Caenorhabditis elegans: one gene and its partners. The protein of the gene in region 2 purifies or fractionates together with the protein of the main gene of each other region. This does not show direct contact. Each region holds a gene or a part of one and is shown on either strand. Other genes may lie near its edges. The genes, in order: nduc-2, vit-4, T21C9.6 and W02D7.4.

Region 1 (3,227 bases), on a different chromosome or scaffold from region 2:
ACGCCCAACTTTTGCAGGCAAAACAGCAAAATTAGGAAATTCGCCTCGTGTCCCGAGCCGTAATCGATTCGAGTGGCGTTTCCGAAGGATTCTGTGAAATATGGAACCAGTTCGACTAGAGCATCGTGGACGTTTTCCGGAAGAACGCTGGCTAGGAGATCTGGGGATTCCTGGAATTTTTAAAATCTTTTTAAATACATTTTTGAGCTAAAAACCTTGCAAAGCTTCTCATAAAACTTTCTGTAAGCTTTATTGCCAAATCTTTGCTCGGAAACATCTTCCAGAGGAATTTCCTCAGCCCATTTCTGAAAAAAATCCATTTTTTATTTTTTTAAATCTGGTTTTTCGTAATTTTCCGTAATTTCTCGAACCTCCAGCTTATCCAGCATGTCGATAAAGCTGATAACCAAGTCTGTGCATCTCATGTCTGCAGTTGTATGAACTCCAACTACAGAATCATTCAAACGATGCAAGAAAGCCAGGTACTCCTCGTAAGCCTGCAAATTTCCATTCATAATCCTTCAAATCGATAAAATTTCTGTTCTACCTTGGAAAAGTACCACGGATTCAGGTCGAACACATTTTTAATCATCTTTTCCGGCGGTTTATACGAGTTTTCAGCCATTTTTCTGGAAAAAAATCTATTTGTTTTGATTTCTAGAACTTTGTTATGTAAAAAAATAATGCAGCAAGTGCGCTCCAACGCAAAACCCCATTGTGGAGCGTTTTGTGCGTGAGAGGTGTATAGGAGTGTGTGGCTCGCGCAGCGTCTTTAGTGAAAAATTTTTATTGATTTTAAATATTGTTTAATTCGGTTTTCACGGATTTCTGAGCTTTGAAAATAACCGCCCGTGTTTAAATTTCAATTATATTCAATTTCAGTAATGCCTGTCGAAGTTGAGGTTCCCCCAACCACTTACGAGAGACTCCAGCAATACAAGGTGAATTTTTAGCGTTTTTCTTCATTTTTATCGATAAAAATTTACAGGAGAAGTTCTCCGATGCTCTCCGTCATCCAGACTCGCCAGACTGGTACAAGAAGGAGACCCACGAGTCTGTGAAGAAGGATCTTCTCTGGGCTGCTCCATACGACGCCAGATTCCCACAGGTTGGTAACTTTATTTAAAATTTATTATATATTAATTAATAATAAAAATGTACAAGTTTTCAGGTCCGTAAGCAACGTCAATGCTTCGCCTACTACGTCGATTTCCATCGTTGCAATGAGCTCATGGGACAGGACTACAAGCCGTGCAAGTTCTTCCAAAATGTCTACAAGGACTTCTGCCCCGGATTCTGGACCGAGAGATGGGACGAGCTTCTTTCCGAGGGACGTTTCCCAGCTAAATTCGATCGCTAAATGAGATTGTTCGATTGTATTCGAGAACAGGCGTTTTATTAGTGCTGATATTCGATAAAAAGTGTCACTTGTAAAATATTTTAAACACTTTTATTTCTTATGGCGTTATGAGACGCTTGAAATATCTCATTTTTTTTAAAAATCATATTTCCCCCAAATAAATAATTTTCTCAGTGGAAACCATGGCTGACTCAACTCGCGTCAGCGAGAAGGAAATCGAGCGCCGCGAGACCTTTATTCGCGCAGGACACAGAGCTCGTCACCTGGCCGATCCATTCACATGGAGCTACCCATTGAAGGGTGCCAGTGCAATGCTCGGAATCTCGCTGGCTTCGGTTTATTTGCAAAATCGATGGAACAAGAAGCCGTACTACTACGCAATTGTTCCACGGCTTTTGCTCATCGGAGCCGCCACCGCCGCCGGATACGCTGCCGGAGCACTTCGAGAGAGACACTATCAGACGAGAGACGCAGTCATCGAGCACTACATGAAGCTTCATCCAGAGGATTTCGACCATTTTAATGATCGTGAGTTTTGGAATTTGCTGAAAAATCGATTTTCAGATTTTACTGCAATTTCGAAAAAAAAACCCGGCTGAATTCGATCAAATTTGAAAGATTTCGGCTTTTTCCCCCCAGAGAATACCGTATTTTTCGCGATTTTCTGTGATAAATGCAGAAAATATATACATTTTCCCCGAAAAAAAAACGCTGAAAAGGAGAAGATTTGGCTAAAATGCTCGATTTCGGACCAATTTTTGCATTCAAACACCCAAATCAATGATTTTTATCTTAAAAATAGCAAAAATTGGCGTGAAAAACCGATTTTAGCCTAAAACACCATGGAAAACTACAAATTATCGGTTTTTTCGTATTTTTTAACAGTAAATTCGTCATTGTTCATGTAAAATACTATAAATCACCGATTTTTATGTTAAATTCAGAAAAAAAATAGTGAAAATGGCGCATTTCAGCTTAATCTTCTCCTCGAGGAGTACACGAGCTGCGTAAATCGACACATCACAGAAAACTTGAATTTTGGACTAGAATTCAGTTTTTTTTTCGCAATTCTAAGTAATTATTTTGGAAATTAGTGCGAAAAAAAGGGAATTCTGGCTAAAAAATTCAAAATTTCTGGGAAAACGGAAGATTTTCTAGTGAAAAATGCAAGAAAATCATCAAAAATTCATGGAATCTATTTATTTTTCAGGCAGTGGACGTTCATTCTCTCAAGTTCTTCTTCCATGGTATCCACGCAGAACCCAGTACACCAGATACGACTGAACAATTCTCTCGAAGTCTCTTTTTAGTTCATTATTGTAAATTAAATGAAGAATTATTGATTTTTTTCCCGGAAAATTCTCATTTTTTTCATTTTTCAGCATCCATCTGGTCTTTTGAGCCGTTTTGAATATAACTAATTAACCCAGAAGCAATTTTGGGGCAAAAATACTATACTATATCCTGGGTCTCGACGCGACAATTTGTGTTAAATGCGAAGAGGGATGCGCCTTTAAAAAGTACTGTAGTTTTAAACTTTTGTTCCGGTGGTTTTTATTGATTTTTTATAGTTTTTCTCACATTTTATGAGAATTTTTGCATATTTTTTTAACGAAACTAGAATAAAAACACATAAATTTCTATAAAATCTGAAAAAAAAACTATGAAAAATCGATCAAAAATTTAAAAAAAAACTCAAAATTGTCGTGGCGAGACCAGTTTTTTGCCACAAAAATCGCGCAAAAAAACGCCAGATTTCAGCATAATGGAAGCATCTTCGGAACAAATTTTATTGGATCGAAAAGATCGATTAATTGCAAAACTGGAACAAAGAAATGAAGAACGAAAAGTGCAAACTGAAGAATGT
Region 2 (7,471 bases):
TAAACAAAAAAAATAATAGGGAGAGGTGATATTTTCCGTTATGGGTAAAAACGGAAGCTACTTACAGAAAAACTTTGGTAGGCATTCAAAAGAGCTGAAAATTTTCTACAAAGTTTCTGAAAGACATTTGAAAAAAAGTTTTGGTTTCCCTGAAAACGTTTAATTAAATTTAGATAACTTGGAAAATTTACTATTAAAAATCCTTTTTTCCGTATATAATGTCATTTAAATTTTAGGCATAGGTGATATTTTCCATTATGGGAAAAAGCTGAAGCTACTTACAACAAAACTTTGGTAGGCATTCAAAAGAGCTGAAAATGGATATTTCAGTCTATCTGATAGAAAAATTATAGAACGATGGAAACTTTGCAGAACAGTTTGAATTATGTCAGATTTTATATTTGTCCAATTTAGAGCTGAAAACCCGAATTTTTGAAAAACTCAGCATAACTTGAAATAATTGTAGCACACAAAACAAATACATCAGTTTTCCAATTTTGATTCGTGAAAAATTGGAACTGAAATAAAGTTGCGGTTAGTGTACATTTTTTTATGAACATTCAGAAATGTCAAAAATGGTAGTTTTTCAGAATACAAGAATGTGTAATGAATAGTATTCTAGTGTGAAAATTTATTATGGACTAAAACATGATAAATGTGAATTTAATAGGCAACGCAGGCGGTTGGGATCTTGACAGACTCAACAAAGGAGACTGGGAAATCGACCAAGTCGGCGACGGTTTGCTCACGGGCCTCCTTCAAGAAACGGCGGGCGTTCTTGCTGTGGCGTGGCATGCAAGTGAAACGGATCTTCTTGTTGGAAGTCTTCTCGGATTCGAGTCCACGGCGGCACTCAGAGACTGGCTCGATGGAGAAGCAGACGCGGTTGGAGAACTCCTTGATGAGGGTCTTCTTGACGAGTTCTGAAAAATATGTATTTTGTTAAAACTACACATCATTCAGCTTTAAACTAACCCTTCTCAGTTTCCTTTTCATCGTAGTTGCTCTCGTAGTCGGAGCTGCTCTCGTAGTCGGACTTCTTCTCTTCTCTGTTCCATTTGTTTTTGTAGTTCTTCTTCTCGGAGATGCGGTCTTTCTCAACTTCGCATTCCTGAAAACGAAATAAATATATATTCAGTTTTTTGAAACAATATAGTTACTTCGTTCTTGAGAAGGTAAGAGCGGTGGAATTCCTCAACATCCTCAGTTTCGTAGTTGTCAGCGGTCATGAACTCATTGTCTCTCTCACCGTCATTGTTTCCGCAAAGTCCGCAAAGTTGGTTTTGTGAAGCAACGGATGGCATGTTGGTCTTGACAGTGTATCCATCGAAACGAACCTCTCCATGTGGAAGACGAATAACAATAAGGTTATCTCCAAGAATTTCGATACTGAAAAACGAGATTAGAAAAATTCATGTGATTTAGAGTTAAAGCTTACTTGTATTGTTCAAGTTCAGTTGGGTTAACCTTCTTTCCGTCAACCTTGACAAGGAACTTATCGTCAGACTTCTTCACAACAATTTCTTCCTCACGGCGGACAACCTTAACGAGAAGCTCCTCAGAGTTCTTGTTGATCTTCTTGGCAAGAACAGCGAATCTTGGCTGTTCGGAGCAATCCTTGGCAACAAGAGAGTAGCAGGTGGTGAGTGGAGCACGGTAGATCACGTTGTCAAAGGTAGAAACCTCAGATTGGTCAACCTTGCAGGTGGCTCCGGTCTTTTCCCAGGTTTGTTGGAACATGGCACGACGAGCAATAGTTGGGAGAACGACGCGTGGAATACGAACATTCTTCAACTCAACTTCTTGTTCTGGAGTCTGGATGGTCATGTTCATGTATTGGCGGGAAAGTGGCTCAACAGAAAGTTGAAGAACGACGCGGCGATCCTCGTTTTGGACACGCTTCTCAGAAACAGTCCAGAAGTTGTATGCCTTGATAAGGTCGAAAATGCGGGAGAAAGTGTATTCAGACTCTGGGGTGAGCTTGTACTCAGAGACAACATTGACTTGGTTAAGACGAGCAGCCTTGATCAAAAGTTCGTACTCTGGAATTCCCTTGTACTCACGCTCGATGTTGCGGAGGAACTTCTTTTGTTCCGTGGATTGTTCGAGTTGAGCATTGAAGGTGATCTCGCTCTTCTTTGATGATCCCCACTTGGCGTTGAGTGCAAGTTGAACCTCACGGTGTGGTTGCTCACGAAGTTGACGGAGGGATGATGGCATTTGTGGGCGGGCAGCAAGAAGCTCAGTACGAAGAGTCCATTCCTTGTTCTCGTGCTCTATTGGAGAGCGACGAGCATCCATCTCAACCTTGCACATACGGATCCATTTGTCACAGACGGTACGAAGTTCAGTGTTCCAGTACATTTGTTGTGGAGCCTCAAGCTTGAGGGTAATAAGATTCTTGAATCCTTGCTCGGATTGAATCTCACGGATCATCTTGTGGAAGTATTGGCGGCGGTTCTCAGATTCGTTGTTCTCAAGGTCGAATTCTTTTTCGAAGATCTTGTCGAACTTGATCTCGGAAAGATCAGTCTTCTCGAGGTTTCCAATAGTGACGCGAGCTGTGAACTCAACTGGACGGTTTTTGTTCTCAAGAGTGAACTCGAAATCTTGTTCAGTCATCAAGACCATTGGAAGAGTCCATTGGGAAAGAACATTTCCTTGGGCATTGATTCTGAGTCCAAAGGTCTCATATTGACGATCAATCTCTTCAGTAGACATTTGGTATTGTGAGTGGGAAATAGTCTTCTCTTCAGCCTCAACATATTCAGAGTCTTGGTTCTTTGGAACACGGATGAAAGCAACTGGGCGGGTATGAACGGAAACAGTGGTCTTCTTGTTCTCTGGGACAACAAACTTGTGAGTGATTTCGAGAGTGTTCTTCTTCAATTCAACAGTTGATTCGAATCTCAATGGAGTGTGGAGACGAGCAGATTGAAGTGACTTGACTCCTTGTTCAATGACTGGATACCAGAAGCGCATCTCAGTGACGTGGGTGGTGGCAACAGTTGGAACGATATCAAGAACAAGACGAGCTCCAAGCTTCTCGAGCTCAATTGAAACCTTTCCGTTGATAGAGAGGATAGTTGGCATCTTTCCAGAAATGGTGAGTGGCATTCCAATGGTGGTTGGAATTCTGCGTTCAGCCTCGTAGAAGAAGAGAGCACGGTGAAGCTCGAACTTGGAGTCGTTGGTCAAGAAAGTGAGGAGGGATTTGATGTCAAACTCCCCGTTTCTGACATACTTCTCAACAACATTGTCAATAGTTTCCATGTCAATTGGAAGAACGATGTAGTCCATCTCCTTGTAGCGAAGGTAGAAAACAGCGTGAGCATTTTGAGAATCGGTTTGTTGGACACGTGGACGGATGTTCATCTTCTTGACAATCTCTTGAAGCATCTGGATTCCAGATTGGACACGACGGGAACGGAGTTCATCAGATTGCTTTCCGTAAAGAGAAAGTTTTTCGAGGGTCTTGAGGATGACTTGCTCAAAGTTCTGTTGAGAGAATCCAACTTGAGCGAAGTATTTGTTCCAGTTTCCTCCGAAGACGGTTTCGAATGATGCTTGAACTTCCTTTGGCAAGAAAGCGTTCTTCTCGAAAATGGTGGCGAAGTCGAATTGAACTCCGGAGAGCCACTCAGAGTTGAAAAGTGGAAGTTGGGAGTAGGTGGAGAGCATCTGTTCTTGTGGTTGATAACGGGTGAAGAGAAGAACCTTGGAGCAACGAACAGCCAATTGTTGGTAGCATGGGTTGGTAGACTTGGAGAATTGACGGAGGACGTTGTAGGTGAAGGCAGCAACGTGTTGGTTGGATTCGTTTTCCATTTGGGAAACGATGTGAGCAAGAACTGGTTCTTCTGGAATGGTGTGCATCATTCTCCAAAGAGCAGCCATACGGAGCTCTGGCTTGTTTTGACGGTTCTTGTAGACTGGAAGGAGAACCTTCTGGATCTTGCGTGGCATAACGTCCTTGAGAAGACGAAGAGCATCTACAGCCTCAGTGCGGATGGAAAGTGGTTGACGTGGATCTTGGATAAGCTGAACAAGCTCATAGACGGAAAGGTCGATTCCCGCGTTTCCAAGGGTCTTAAGAGCAAGAACCTTCTCGTATGTGGAGTCAGCGTTACGGAAGTGTTGCATGAAGACGCGAACGTACTTTTCCTTGGTTTGTCTAGATGCTGGGCGGATCAATGGAAGGTCTTGGGTCTTTGAAGCAAATCCACGAACAACAGATCCTGCGGCGAGCCAGGCAGATTGACGAAGTGGTTCGTACTTCTCAGAGAGTGGCGATTGGGCAAGTTGGATGAGAAGGTCAGCAATGTGCTCACTTGGGTAAAGAGTTTCTTGGACAGATTTAAGAAGCTCAGCAGCTCTCAATGGTGTGATGCTCTTCTTCTCGAAGTGATGAATCAAGTGTTGAATGGTGTTCTTGGTTCCAGCCACAGCCAATGTGGTTTCAATGACAAGTTGAACCTAAGAGAGAACATGATATTAGTGATTATGAAATGTGTATTGGTTACCTTCTTCTCGGCCTTAGTGTAGATGGTGGTGTGAACCTTCTTGAGTTCTTCGATGGTGCACATGCGGAACATGCGGACGGCGCGGGCAATAAGGTGGACAGTTTCTGGGGTGTTCTGCTCGTGCTCTTGAATTTGACGGAAGATCTCTTCAAGTTGCTCAACTTTTTGCTCTATCTCGATAGCCTTGAATGGGTTGACCTCAGCTTTGTCTCCTTGTTTGTAGAATTGCTCAATAAGCTTCTCGTTTTCCATGGAGTAGACGATTTCCTCCTTTGGTCCAGAGACCTGAAAGTATTACTGTTAGAGTTAGCTATCAAAAGCCCATAAAATACATTTTTAAATAAATTACCTTCTTGATCTCTCTATTGATCTTGCTTTCTTCGACGAAAGTGACCTTGGCGCGAGTCTCAGACTTGACAACCTCTTGTCCGTTGACATTCAAAGTGTAAATAGAATTAACCTCAGATTCTTGCAATTTCTCGTTCTTGAAGGTGTAGGTGTAGACAGTTTGTGGCTGAACAAATTGTCCCTCCTTCTCGCATTCCTTGCACTCAGATCCAAAACGAAGACCATAAGCAGTCTCTGGGCGAGTGATGCATTTGTCGAAGTTGACAGATTTGGTGTAGATGGTCTTCCCTCCCTCTTGAACAATGGTGTAAGCGACTTCGCAGTCTCCTTCCATGGTCTTTTCATGAACATTGAAGAAAAGAGAATCTTTGTCGGATTCCATATCTTTCTGATCTTGGCTCATCTCATCAACTGGAGCAGACTTGCGGAGAGAGAAAAGATTGAGAATCGATCTCTTGGCGTTCTTGGACCACTCGGCATCTTCGGAAGAAAATTGGATCTCAGAAACAAGTCCATTTCTGATTTGAGCACGGAATGGAAGCTCAAGAAGCTCTTTGAGCTCATCGGAAAGCTCACGTTGCTCCAAAGATTCGATTTTTGGCCATTGCTCAGATTGTGGAATGTGGGAAGCAGAGTACTGAATATCAATCAATTGAAGATGAATGTAACGATCATCAACAGCTTGAAGACGGGTACGGCAAGAAATCAGGGTTTGGGAAGCATCGGAAAATGTAGTTGGGAGTCCAGAGAGAAGAAGTCCGTCAAATTTGTAGACGTATTCGCTCTTTGGGGAGAAAGTACGGTCAAGAGCCGGAGAGGCGGCAATCGCCAAGGCGACAAGAGAGGCAATGATTATTGACTTCATTGCGAGAGTGATTATTCCCTTTCCAGCGTTTCTATTTATACCAGTGTGTTTAATTGACAGGACAGGCGATTGCAAGGAGGTTTTAATATTATTGACAGATTTCCAGAGATTGTGATCGTGCCATTTAATGCTTATCAGCGCAAATTGAAAGATACATGTTGAAAATATATTATCAAAGTTGCAGATGTCAGTTTTCCCTGAAGATCGACGCCTAAATGATGGTTTCTGAATTTAATTGATAGACGTACCACAGTGTGGGTTATAGAACATTAATATGGAACATCAAAAAAATACACATTAGTTCTGTCAATGCAGTCTTTGTGCTTGCTTACCGCCCGTGGTTTGAAATCACAAGCGGAAGTTTTATGGACCATTGTTAAAATTGGGCAGCTTTAATCGCTCCAACAATTTTGATGGGAAACATTCTTGGATAAACACGCAATTTTTTGAACATTTCACTGATAAAAATTCGGCGTTTAGTGAATACAACATTATTTGGAGTAGTCGTACTTTGTTTGTGCCATTATTATTGCTAATAAAAACATTAATATTCTTCGCGGCTCGATTTTTTTTATAAATTAGGACCATAAATTGGCTTTTTTCAACATTTACAGAATTCAGGTCAATTTGTTGTTTTTTCATAAGTTATATTTGTTGCTTCATGTATTGGAGATTAAAACCCCTTTATCTACATTTAAAAAAAGTCACACATTCCCAACAGTCTATAATAATTGACTGTTCCAGCTGTACCATATATTGAGCATTTTCATGGCCCACAAAACCATAATGATAAAATCATATTTTTTCCTGTAGCGATGAACTCCATCTGAAGAGTTGGTTTTCCCATTTTGATTTATTTATTTTTGTAGGATTTGTCAATTGTGTAAGAAATGAAATACCAATACAACACACAGAATCTAAATAAACAATAACAAAAACATAACAACAAGCAATATATACATAATAATCAATTGACATGTAATGTGTATAATTATCACCTAAAATTAAGATTAGTGAATAGGGACAATACAAGAAAATTCATGTGAAGAGGGTACAATTACAAATTGTAAAGAGGGTACAATTAGCTCATACTAACATTTAAAAGTACTCAGATCTCTATTTGTGAAACTAATGCCTTCTGAATTTTGTTTTACACTATCAAAATCATGTTTTTCCACCAGCATTAGCTTGAGGATCATTTTATCAATAGGCACTCTTCGATGATGTCATAATATTTTTTTCTGGTGCAAGCTCAAAACATAGCAACGTCTGAATTGACATAAAAGTTGGAAAAGTTTTATTTTGTCATTTATAATTACATACAGAATACCTATTTGTCGCCACAGAGTAAAAATGTTCACCTTCATTTACAGGAAAATTCATCAGTGGGTTTTTTAAAAATATATACCCCATTTCCTCTATTAGTTATGAATGCAAGACTTATTTTCAATTGTTCCATAAGTTCGGAAAAGTTACCAGTTTTTGTTAAAAACTATGATACACGTTCAATCCATGAAAGATACATTGTTTTCCAAAGTTTCTCCAGCTATTTAAATACGTTTAAGTTCAATTTATTCAGAAAATGTCAATTTTGTCGAAGGTTCAGAACTTCCAATAGTCCTGCACCCCTACCAGTCAAACGAAAACTAGTTTTGAATCCTCTATTTGTATTGCAGCCATTTTGCCATACAAGTCAATTTTGCGGAAGTTTTGGTATATATTAAATTATTTATTA
Region 3 (7,454 bases), on a different chromosome or scaffold from region 2:
GACTGTCCGGCGAGGCTAAAAACTTGGCTTTTGAAGCCGCCATAATGTTTTTAAAAAAATTTCAAAGTTCTTCACAAAATCATATATTTTGTTATGAAATGGCATAAGTACTACAAAAAAAATCAATTTTCTCATGCATAAGTAATTAAAAAAATTTTAAACAAGAAAACGTTCAATTTTTAAAAAGTGACAGCATAAAATAAAACGCAATGCGATTTGTATTGTTTTATTTCAGAACAAAGACCCCGACTTCTTCCGTCAATCTCCATATGGTCAATATTTGAAAATTGTGTGGCGATTGGCTCTTCTTTTCGGAATCATCAAAGCCGGAACTGTTGTCTACGATTTTGCCGTTCCAGAAGAGCAGCGACTCAAGTACAAGTACCGTAATCACGGACATCACGGTCACGACGATGCCCATGACTAAATTTCTGATTCACCACCGTCCGAACGTCTTCTTTTTGCATAGGAAGAAAGAGCCCATTTTAGTGTATTTGTAATCATTATCATTATCACAAAAAGATTTTTCTTGTAAAAAATGTCTTCCCATAAACATTCACAACATTGCAAAGAACATATCCAATATTCGAATTAGAAGACCACCCAGATGGAAATTAAATACGTCGGCTGGTTTTATTTGCGCCGTCAATTCAGTTATCGAAAAAATCATCATCGTCATAAACTTAGTTATTGATTATTTCCTGATAACTACTTATACGTTCAACCAAATCATTTCGTTATCAGCCACAGTTTATATGTGCCATAAGATTCTTCAGCACTCAACTTTTCCAGTTTCTTATTTTTTGAACTTACCAATGCTAGAAGTATAAACATAGAAATTCACATTCTTTCTAGTTAACTTCTCTGCAATGACTGGTCGTTTTTGGAAAACATGGTTTGTACTCAAACTATTCAATTTTTTTGCCGAATTCTTCTTCGAGCCCTTGCCATAGATTATTCATTGTGTGACATCTCTATTGTATTCTCTATTATTTAGTACTAACTTCTCTGGAATTCGACTTGCATGTCATACTATTAGAGTATATGGCCGTGATGATAGGCTTGTGATGATATACCTTGTGAGGGCTGTGAAAAACAACAAAAAATCGAATTTCTCCAGAAAACCAAAAAAAAAACACTCTATTTTTTTCGATTTTTCATCAATCCAACTAAAACATAACATCTTTGAAAAACAATTTTTCTGTTAATTTGGTCTGAAAAAAAAATCAAAAATCCATTTTTACGAAAAAACCAAAAAAGCAAAAAACCGACAGCTCTGCTATGATATACTCATCTATGATGTGATATAGATGAATGTCTAGCGATGATTTTTTATAGAAACAATATGCCCGATTATTGAGCCTTAAAAATTCACTAAAATTTCTCAATTAATCTTTGTTTGCCGAGTTTGACATATAAGTTGCTAGAAGCTATTGATCTTTTCCATTTTCCAACAACAAATATTTGACCTTCAATACAACAACACTAATTTATTAGCACAATCACTATCAAATCTGCACGTACTTTTGTATTTATTTAATGATTTAATCAAGAGTCTTTTATCAAACTACATAGATATTCTAAGTGTCACATGAAAATCAGTTGGCAAATATATACATTTTAAAACTATTTTATAAACCGTTTCAAGACAAGTACACTTGAAGCTATCTCTGATTACTAAAATACTATCAAGATCTATCTCTTCAGTTATTGATGTTCTTACATGTATTGCTATTGACATAAAATTCTACGTATTTACAGAACAAATGTTGATATTCCTGTTTTTGCTGTTTCTTTCAGCTCCACTATGCAAGTTTGTATTGTATCCAGTGATATACGCGTTCCTTAAATGGAGACATCCGGTCAAGTGAGTACTAATGTGATTATGGACCCAGTATGGGGCAATTGATCACTTTTTTGTTTACGACCCAAACTGGTTATCTATATTGAAATTCGAGTTTTTTGTCAATTGTGATTTGATACTATCAGTTGATTAACAAGTGAGCACACTTTTTTTTTTGAATGAATAGCAGAAACCATACTTTGATAAATTGACAAAAAGTTGAAACTTCTATCTAGATTTCTATGGAAAATATGAACGATGACTATCCGATTCGTTCACTCTTATAGTATTTAAAGAAAAGACATGTGCTTGAATAGATAAAAGATTGATTTAAAAAATTACTCAAACGTTTTTGCAATACTTTAAATACCACTCATTTTTTTTCGCTGATCGAAATTTGGAAATCGTACTTTTAAAACATTTTCAAAATAAAATCTTTAACTGTTCCCTTCTTGCATATTGATGGTATTCATGCATATTGTCTTTTTATAAGTTCTAGTGAATTACCGAGATTTTTTTGATTTTTTTTAAACTAAAAAAGGCTACAGTAGACTCAATACAATTTCAGAAAGTTCACTGCTCCAACTGCAAAGATTCGTGACATTATAAACCCTGATAAAGAGGAATGGGAACTGGAACATATTAAAAATGAAGTATGAATAATAAAAATAGACACGAAATTCGTCCTTTTTTTGCAGGAAATTCTAACAATTAGCGGTTCTGGAGAAGATAATAGTTTTGTGTATATTCAAGTTATAACAAAGAATGAAATTCATTTTGCTCATATTCGAGTTTTCGAAAAAGGAATTCTTTATTCCGGATCATACAAAGCAGTATTCTCCGATAATCGAACAATTTCATGTGGACCATTGCTAATTGAGCTTCGAAACCCATTCCGTAAATGGAGAATTAATTTCCGTGGATACCTGAATGATGCTAAAGGCAACTCTCATTTTGTTATACTTTCGGGATGGTGGAAATGTGTGTCGAATGCTAGATTTTTCTATTCAAATGCTCTTTTGAAGTCATTCAATGAAATTTACAATGACAAACCAACTGCACTGATTGAGAATTTGAAAACTATCGAAAAGTGACTGAATCATTTCTTACAAATACGTTATATCAACTTTAGGTACCGAAAAGGAAATGTGTTAAACCAAATGGGTGAATATCACGCAGAAATCAAAATTGGGAAAGATGAAGTTGTCGAACATAGATATAGAGGTTGAAAACACACGATACAAAAACCAAATTCCATCAAAGTTTCAGGACTTCGTCATAGAAATCCATTAGACTTGGAGACAAGTTCTACACATTTTCATACATACCTGAGCGTAAGGTTTATTTATCTTTTTTGTATTATAGAAAAGTAGAAATACTTTTTGGCTTATCCCGCTTAAGAAAGTAGTTTTCAGGATGCAAATGCAATTTCCTATCGTGTCAACTCTGTAGATGAAAAGAAATCAGTTAGTCACGGAGTGGGATTCCGTTCAGATCACAGTGCTCGTCCAATAATTATTGATAATTCTCATTCCCTTGAGTCAGATAATATGCTTCCAGTTCAATTCAAATATGTTTCACGTGGACTTCTCCCTCTTGAAATGAGAAAAGGACGAAAATTATGTCATTTCACGTTTATTCGAGAAGACAACAAGGTTGTCGACGTTACTGCGTTAGAAGTTAATTCTGCAATTTTTACGGGAGTTGGATTTGTGGTTAGAGTGAGAGAGGCAATTCATGAAGTTACAACTAAACTTCCCGATAGTTTCCCGGAATATCATGCAACTGAATCAGAAAAGATGAAATCAGTAGTCTCATTCAATCACAGAGCATGTCAGGATAAAATGTTAACTGGCGGAAAAGGTGCGAATTTAGCAAGACTTCAAGCAATCACCGATGATGTAAGTTCTGAAAGTAAGCATATACAATGTTGAAATAGATTTTCAGTTCCATGTGCCTCCTGGAATAGTTGTCACTACCGCAGCTTTCAACAAGCATGTAATTGCGAATCCAAATGTTTTAGAAGAAATAAAACTTCTCGATATCAACGATAAAAATGCCGAGTATTATGAGGATGTTGGTAAAAGGTAATAAAATAAGTTATCAATCCAATATTTAGAAACATGACATATTTTAGAATTGAAGGGCTTCTTTTCGAAAGTGAAGTGTCTCAAGAACTGCAAAAAGAAATTAAGGAGTGGTTACCGCGTTCTGAATACTATGCAGTAAGATCATCTGCAGTTGGAGAAGATGGAGCAGATCTTTCATCAGCTGGACAACTGGAAAGTTACTTGGATGTGATTGAAATTGATATAGTTGATAAACTGAAGCTGTGTTGGGGCTCTAATTTTAGAAGAGAAGTATTGAATTACAGAAAGTAGGTTTTAACAAGTTAAAATTTCAATCACAATGTGACGTTTACAGAAACTACGGTCAGCAGCTTAATCCGTCAATGGCTGTAGTTATTCAAGAAATGGATCGAAACGGAGTGGCTGGAGTTATGTTCACCGCAAATCCAGTAAAATTAGATCGTGGAGAAATTGTGATAAATGCATTGAAAGGAAGTGGGGAACAAATTGTGAGCGGTGTGACGACACCAGATGAGATTTACGTAAATCGAATCCATAAAACGGTGGTCATAAATGTAAGTTGGGTTTTCTTAAAAGGATTTTTGCTATATTTTACCTTTTTGTCAATAAAGAAGTACTACAAAAATATTTTCAGAAAGTTGGCGTCGATTGTTGCTTGGATGACTATCAGATTGAGAAACTTACCAAAGTTGGAGAGTACTTGGAGAGAATATTTGGAAAACCTCAAGATATTGAATTTGTTGTTAGAAATCAAATGGTTAATATTGTTCAAAGTCGAGATATTACTGGTTTGGATAAGGAGACTCAATTTGAAATGTGCACAGAATATAATTCGCCAAGTATTCATGACAAAGAAATTCTAACAAATGCAAATGTTGGAGAAGTTCTTCCAGTTCCGGTTAATGCCATGGAAGCTCATAATTTAACTGGAATGTTTGATAAAGTCATTGCAGTAAGAATAACAATATAATTAAAAAAATTAAATTATAAACAAAATTTCAGTCAATGACATTTCAAGAGCTCAATGATGTTGTGCCGGCACATACTTCAATCGGCTTTTCCGTTGCACACCGTAAAATATTTTTCAATTTGGGAGAAGTTGTTCTTCGAATTTGGGAACTGGTTGAAAAAGATCGAATTACTGATATAGTGATTGCTGGAGAAACTCTTTTCAATGCGGAAATGTTCCAACAAGCAGCTCATCAATACGGAAAAGTTTCACCTTTCTTTCCGTTGAAGAGAATGTTCAACATGATCAAGTTAATATATTTTACATCAAACAGTGTGAAGGCGAAAATTGTCAAAATCGACGAGGAAGCAAAGAAACTGGTGCCAAATGATAAAATGACGATTGAGATAGTATTCAAAAAATATGACGAGCTTGAGAAGTTGTGGTGTGATGCAAGCCATTGTCACACCAGTCTTTCAATGTTCTCTTCTTTCACATATGTGCTATGTGGAATGCTTATTCGTGGAAGTGACAGTTAGTTTTTGTGGAAAGTGTTGAAAGGCCTTCAAATGATATAGAGTTTAACTGGAATTCTTAAGGAAGGGTTAAGCTCTCCTTAAAATACTATTTTTGATAGGTTTTTAAGAGTTCACACAATTGATGATTACGCATTAATCATTTAAAATTGTGTTTGTTATTTAGCAGCATACTTGAAAATACCTATAAAATTATGATTTCTGTGTCAAATCTGTCCTCCTTTTGATTCTTGAAATTAAGTATTTCTAAGTTGTAATTATTCAAATTTTATAGAATCTGATATCAACTTCCATTCAAAATATTTTTCAGATGGACCTCTTTCCAATGACAATATATCCGATTTTGCCAATGTGTTCTCCAATAACTCTCGTGGAGATGTAATCAGTGCTGACGTTCCAAATTCTTTAAAGAAACTTGCAAAAACCATTCGAGAAGAGAGTATTGATAAAGAATTTTGTGCTGCAGAAGACGATGAGGCTTTGAAAACACTTGAAAACGGAAAGAAAAGCTCTGACGAATTGAGAAGATTTCTAGAATTGCATGGACATCGAGGGCCGAAAGAACTTTATTTAGATGCTACCACCTGGGAAGAGGACACCAATTTATTAGTTCATACAATTAAAAGTATGTTGGCTTGCCCAGAAACGTCTGGGAAGACTATTGAGAATGAAGATGATATTATTGATAACTTGAAATGCAAGCCGACTGGTATTAGAAGGTGGGAAACTTTTTGTAACCATTTGAAAAAAATGCATTTACACATTTCAGAAGACTTTTGAAATATTTCATCGGTCAGACACACCGTGGAGTTTCATTTAGAGAAACAGCAAAAAATCATTTAGTTTCCACGACACATTCTCTTCGAAAGGCATGCAGAATGGTTGGAAAGAAGTTGTATGAAAAAGTGAATTAATTTAAAATTTGCTGCAAGTAATTTTCAATTTTAGGGATATCTTCCTGATCCAAATCTTTGGATGCACTTCTCAATGGACGAACTTAAAGAATTGAATGCAACAAGAAGTGCAAAACTTGTTTCCAGAGCAATCAGAAGAAAACAGATTTCATCGAAGTTTGAAGGTCTCCAATTTCCACTTGTTTCTCATGGATACATGAATCCAATTAAAATAGAAATCGCTGAAACTGATGCAAATATTGGTATCATTCTTCGAGGAACTACAGTATGCGAAGGAAAAGTTAGAGCCAGAGCAAGAGTTGCCAAAACATTGGAAGAAGCAAAAGAGACAAAACCAGGAGAGATTCTCATTACAAAATACACGGATATCTGTTGGTCTCCATTTTTCCCAATTATCAGTGGAATTGTCACCGAGATTGGAGGACTACTCAGTCATGGGGCTGTTGTTGCAAGAGAGTATGGACTACCAAGTTTGATTGCAGTTTCCAATGCAACATATCACTTTAAAACTGGTGATCTTGTTGAACTGGACTCTATTTCTGGCACAATTAGCCGACTGGACACTAATCAGGAATAAATTTATGTAATCAATTTTTTTCAAATAAAACTGTTTTATGTGAGTGTTTATTCAAAATTTGATATTCTAGAACACAAATAAAAAAGATGCGTATGTTCACATTGGTCAGTAAATCAGTAAATAAAAAATATGTTAGTACACGGAACTTGTTACCATGACAGCTCTACTCCTGAGACTGGGAAAATGGTCTGTTGCCATTGACGTACGTACCTAGAAAAATAAGACATGTTTCACAGAATTATATATCATTTACCTTGGTACTAAAATACATAATAGTCCATGGATGATTGAAAGTGAGTATGTCACTAACAAAAGGCATCAATGCTTTTGCAGTTTGGGCTCCGACTGACATTCCTTCTGATGGTGCGGCGCGAAGAATCAACTAAAAGTATTGAAATATTGAATAACTGAGGAGGCAAAACCTAAATACCGTATCTCCGAGAGCTAATAGCTGAATAATGAACGAAACAAAGCTGACAGTAAACAGATTTCTCTCTGCACCACTGATCCTTGTTGGAAGAAGAGTCAGACGAATTATTGAGACA
Region 4 (3,249 bases), on a different chromosome or scaffold from region 2:
ATTACTCGTTTTTTCCTTCATTGGCAGTTTGGCATTTAATTTTTAGTTATTGGTTCAGATAAATATGCAGCTGTCCAAATTCTTCCAAAAACCACAGCTTCTGTTCCGAGTTGCTCAGCCGAAGGACAAGGAGAACATCCTGAAGTTCTTGGATGCTCATTTCGCGAAAGAGGAACCATGTGCTAGAGTTAGTTAATCGATTTTTATTTACCAGATTCAAAACACAGTAAATCTTTGTTTTTTCAGGCGCTCAAACTTTCCCCTGAAACATCTCGTGGAATCTTTACAACTACTGTAACTCGTTGCCTCAATTTCCCATTTTCTACCGTAGTTCTTCAAGAAAATGACGAGATTGCAGCGTGCCTTTTAGCTTCTGTATGGAATCGAACAGACCCAATTGATAGTGCAGATTTCAATAGTTCGGGAATGCCGGAAAATTTGAAACTTTTTGGTATCAGCTCTGTTTTAAAACACAAATTTGATTAATTAGTATTTTCAGTCCAATTCATCAACTCCGCCCACTCAAACTTTTGGAAAATTGCTCCGCCAAACGTTAATTCCATTATTCATAGGTACATATTACGAAAGCACTAAATTCTCAGGATTCGTATTGCGCAACATACTTGACGCGCAAGATATCTCGTAGCGAAAACTACAGTAACTCTTTAAATTGCTACTGTAGCGGTTTTCTCGACTTAAGGGCTTGGTCTTCAAAATTAATTAAAATCATTTATTTATCGATAGAACACTAAAATTAAGCAAAAAATGAGAAAATAACACGAAAAACGAATAAAAATGGAACTTCGCTGTAAATTTACAACAGCGCCACAGTAGACATTCTACGAGTTACTGTAGCTTTCACTACGAGATATTCTGCGCGTCAAATGTGTTGCGTAATACGCATTTTCAAAACGCGGTGTTTCCATAATACGATTGATGTTTCATTTGTTAATAAATATTTGTTTTTATTTCAGAGAAATCGGAAGTGTCGCCCCACAGTTCACAAGAAAAGGAATTGCAACAAGGATGGTAACTACAAATATGACTAAAACTAATTTGAAAGTAAGTTTTAAGAAAAGATGTGAAAATAAAAGTGTCAAACCGGAAAAAATTGTTGTATGCCGAATAAAATGAAATATAATATTTCAGAAATATAATATTGGTGGAGTTCTCTCGGAAACATCGTCTCTCGCAAATCAGATAGTTCTCCAAAAAGCTGGATTCAAGGTGATTTTATGAAGAAGAACAAAGAAATTAGGATTTCAAAATAGATTTTAACAAATTCTAAATTTTGAATATTGGAGCAAATATCTGTCATCAACCCAAAACTATTTGCATTTTCAGTGTCTCAAAGAGCTACCCTACTCTGCAATAGTTGATTCAAAAGGCAATCGTGTACTTCGACCGGATGATGGAACAACTTCTCTTTGTCTCAATTTCAAGCCAATTGAAGAATACGAAAACCTACCAGAATGAACAATAGATCTATTAAATTGTGATGTAATAATTATTAAAATTGAAATTGTATTTCATCCTCTCTAATTGTATTTAAAAATGTAAAAACTTAATTTTAACTGGAAAATAAACTTATCTTTATTTTGAACTGAAAACTCATCGGGTATCATGAAGAAATTCAAAAATATTAATTCTTGATTGACATTTAAAACTTGCGTGAACTGTCAAATAAAATGTCACTTTATGTTTCCAACACAACAAGCAATATTATCGATACCACTTCGTTCTTTTTGTTCTTTTGAACAACTCAATATAACAATATGATGTTATCCAAAGTTCTTCGAAATTCTCCACTTCTTTTCCGTGTCGCACAACCGAAGGATCATGAACGAATTATTAAGTTTCTGGATAAACATTTTGCAAAGGAGGAGCCATGTTCAAGAGTTTGTTCACAATTTTCTAGTTAATTATTCCGATCACTTGTTCAGGCGCTAAAAATCTCCCCAGAAATATCTCGTGGCGTTTTCACAGCTACCGTAACCCGCTGTCTCACTACACCTTTCTCAACAGTTGTCCTCCAAGAAAATGGTGATTTGGCTGCTTGTCTTTTGGCTTCTGTTTGGAATCGTACTGATCCACTTGAGAATGCTGATTTTGATGATACAGGTCTTCCGGAGAATTTCAAACTTTTTAGTGAGCCGTCGATCCAGATAATAAGTTTAATTTGTTGCTTTCAGTCCAATTTTTGAACAAGGCTCATTTGAACTTTTGGAAAATTGCTCCACCAAACGTCAATTCCATTATTCACAGGTATCCTCGGGACTTTTTTTAAAAATAAAATTGCTGTTTCCAGAGAAATTGGAAGCGTAGCTCCTCAGTTCACTCGACTTGGAATTGCTACCAAAATGGTTACTACTAACATGACAAAACGTAACTTGAAAGTATGTATGTTTCTTTAATGTTTGATAAATGGATTGATTAATTTAGAAATATAACATTGGTGGAGTTCTCTCGGAGACCACATCACTTGCCAATCAAATTGTTCTCGAAAAAGCTGGTTTTAAGGTAGGGAAAGTCACACTTTTCCAGAAATTAAAAGTAATTTATAGTGCCTCAAAGAGTTGCCATATTCGACAATTGTTGATTCAAAAGGAAATCAAGTTTTGAAGTTGGATGATGGTACAACTTCTCTTTGCCTGAACTTCAAACCAATTGAGGAGTACGAGAACTTGCCAGAATAAGAATTCAAATGAAAATAGACTTAATAAATGTTTAGGCACGTTTATTTTTTGGTGAAATACATAATACGATATTAAATGAGTGTCAATAGAATAGTAAGCTACATAACCGAATTTCCATCATATACTGAAATAAACACCTGCCAAAAATTAAATTGATTCTTATTTATCCTTCATAATGTTACTAGAAATCTTTTGTTCGAGCTCTGTGATATGATGTTTCCAAAAAACGAATTCCAGTATTCTTACAGTACTGCTCTTGGGGTAAACTCGTATAGTATTTAAGTGAGATATTTTTTAACTCCAAATACGAATATTTATTATTCACCATATATAAACATAACCATGTGTTACTAAACTTATAGTTGTTCTTTAAAAGTTCTTATTTACATTTCTGTATCCCAAAATAGGTCAAGATCTGGATCATCTCATAACTTGTTAGTACTACCACTTCACTCTCGATATGTACAATCTGTTCCCTTTCCTTTTCCGTAAATCCTGTCATCATATTTCCCGATTTTTTTTTCGAAAGTTTTCCTCATATTGCACACGCAAC

What was found.
Region 1: the proteins of vit-4 (region 2) and nduc-2 fractionate together in Caenorhabditis elegans (co-fractionation; one large-scale study listed by BioGRID). This does not show direct contact.
Region 3: the proteins of vit-4 (region 2) and T21C9.6 purify together in Caenorhabditis elegans (affinity purification with mass spectrometry, with the first as the bait; one large-scale study listed by BioGRID). This does not show direct contact.
Region 4: the proteins of vit-4 (region 2) and W02D7.4 purify together in Caenorhabditis elegans (affinity purification with mass spectrometry, with the first as the bait; one large-scale study listed by BioGRID). This does not show direct contact.

The regions. Positions count from the first base shown.
Region 1 is NC_003281.10:2,785,320-2,788,546, forward strand, and holds nduc-2 (NADH dehydrogenase [ubiquinone] 1 subunit C2), read left to right. Parts: upstream 1-1,532; 5' UTR 1,533-1,542; coding exon 1,543-1,888; intron 1,889-2,570; coding exon 2,571-2,644; 3' UTR 2,645-2,709; downstream 2,710-3,227. Other genes in the region: Y71H2AM.20 (Serine/threonine-protein phosphatase 2A activator), read right to left, coding at 1-170, 216-305, 372-497, 548-625; cox-6B (Cytochrome oxidase c subunit VIb), read left to right, coding at 885-941, 989-1,108, 1,172-1,360; tbcc-1 (C-CAP/cofactor C-like domain-containing protein), read left to right, coding at 3,126-3,227.
Region 2 is NC_003284.9:3,558,230-3,565,700, forward strand, and holds vit-4 (Vitellogenin-4), read right to left. Parts: upstream 5,737-7,471; coding exon 4,873-5,736; intron 4,809-4,872; coding exon 4,524-4,808; intron 4,477-4,523; coding exon 1,439-4,476; intron 1,390-1,438; coding exon 1,161-1,389; intron 1,112-1,160; coding exon 976-1,111; intron 924-975; coding exon 664-923; 3' UTR 540-663; downstream 1-539. UniProt on the Caenorhabditis elegans protein: Precursor of the egg-yolk proteins that are sources of nutrients during embryonic development. Together with other vitellogenins, may play a role in modulating life-span, acting via induction of autophagy and lysosomal lipolysis.
Region 3 is NC_003283.11:10,580,126-10,587,579, forward strand, and holds T21C9.6 (Phosphoenolpyruvate synthase), read left to right. Parts: upstream 1-1,761; 5' UTR 1,762-1,766; coding exon 1,767-1,867; intron 1,868-2,411; coding exon 2,412-2,496; intron 2,497-2,541; coding exon 2,542-2,933; intron 2,934-2,975; coding exon 2,976-3,067; intron 3,068-3,112; coding exon 3,113-3,177; intron 3,178-3,258; coding exon 3,259-3,744; intron 3,745-3,790; coding exon 3,791-3,930; intron 3,931-3,980; coding exon 3,981-4,220; intron 4,221-4,267; coding exon 4,268-4,487; intron 4,488-4,567; coding exon 4,568-4,885; intron 4,886-4,935; coding exon 4,936-5,416; intron 5,417-5,728; coding exon 5,729-6,137; intron 6,138-6,187; coding exon 6,188-6,323; intron 6,324-6,366; coding exon 6,367-6,909; 3' UTR 6,910-6,952; downstream 6,953-7,454. Other genes in the region: lpd-9 (LiPid Depleted), read left to right, coding at 236-427; srg-32 (Serpentine receptor class gamma), read right to left, coding at 7,042-7,119, 7,163-7,291, 7,340-7,454.
Region 4 is NC_003283.11:8,296,049-8,299,297, reverse strand, and holds W02D7.4 (aralkylamine N-acetyltransferase), read left to right. Parts: upstream 1-1,693; 5' UTR 1,694-1,775; coding exon 1,776-1,898; intron 1,899-1,943; coding exon 1,944-2,148; intron 2,149-2,192; coding exon 2,193-2,265; intron 2,266-2,308; coding exon 2,309-2,396; intron 2,397-2,442; coding exon 2,443-2,520; intron 2,521-2,564; coding exon 2,565-2,696; 3' UTR 2,697-2,740; downstream 2,741-3,249. Other genes in the region: W02D7.5 (aralkylamine N-acetyltransferase), read left to right, coding at 65-187, 247-451, 500-572, 975-1,062, 1,150-1,227, 1,345-1,476.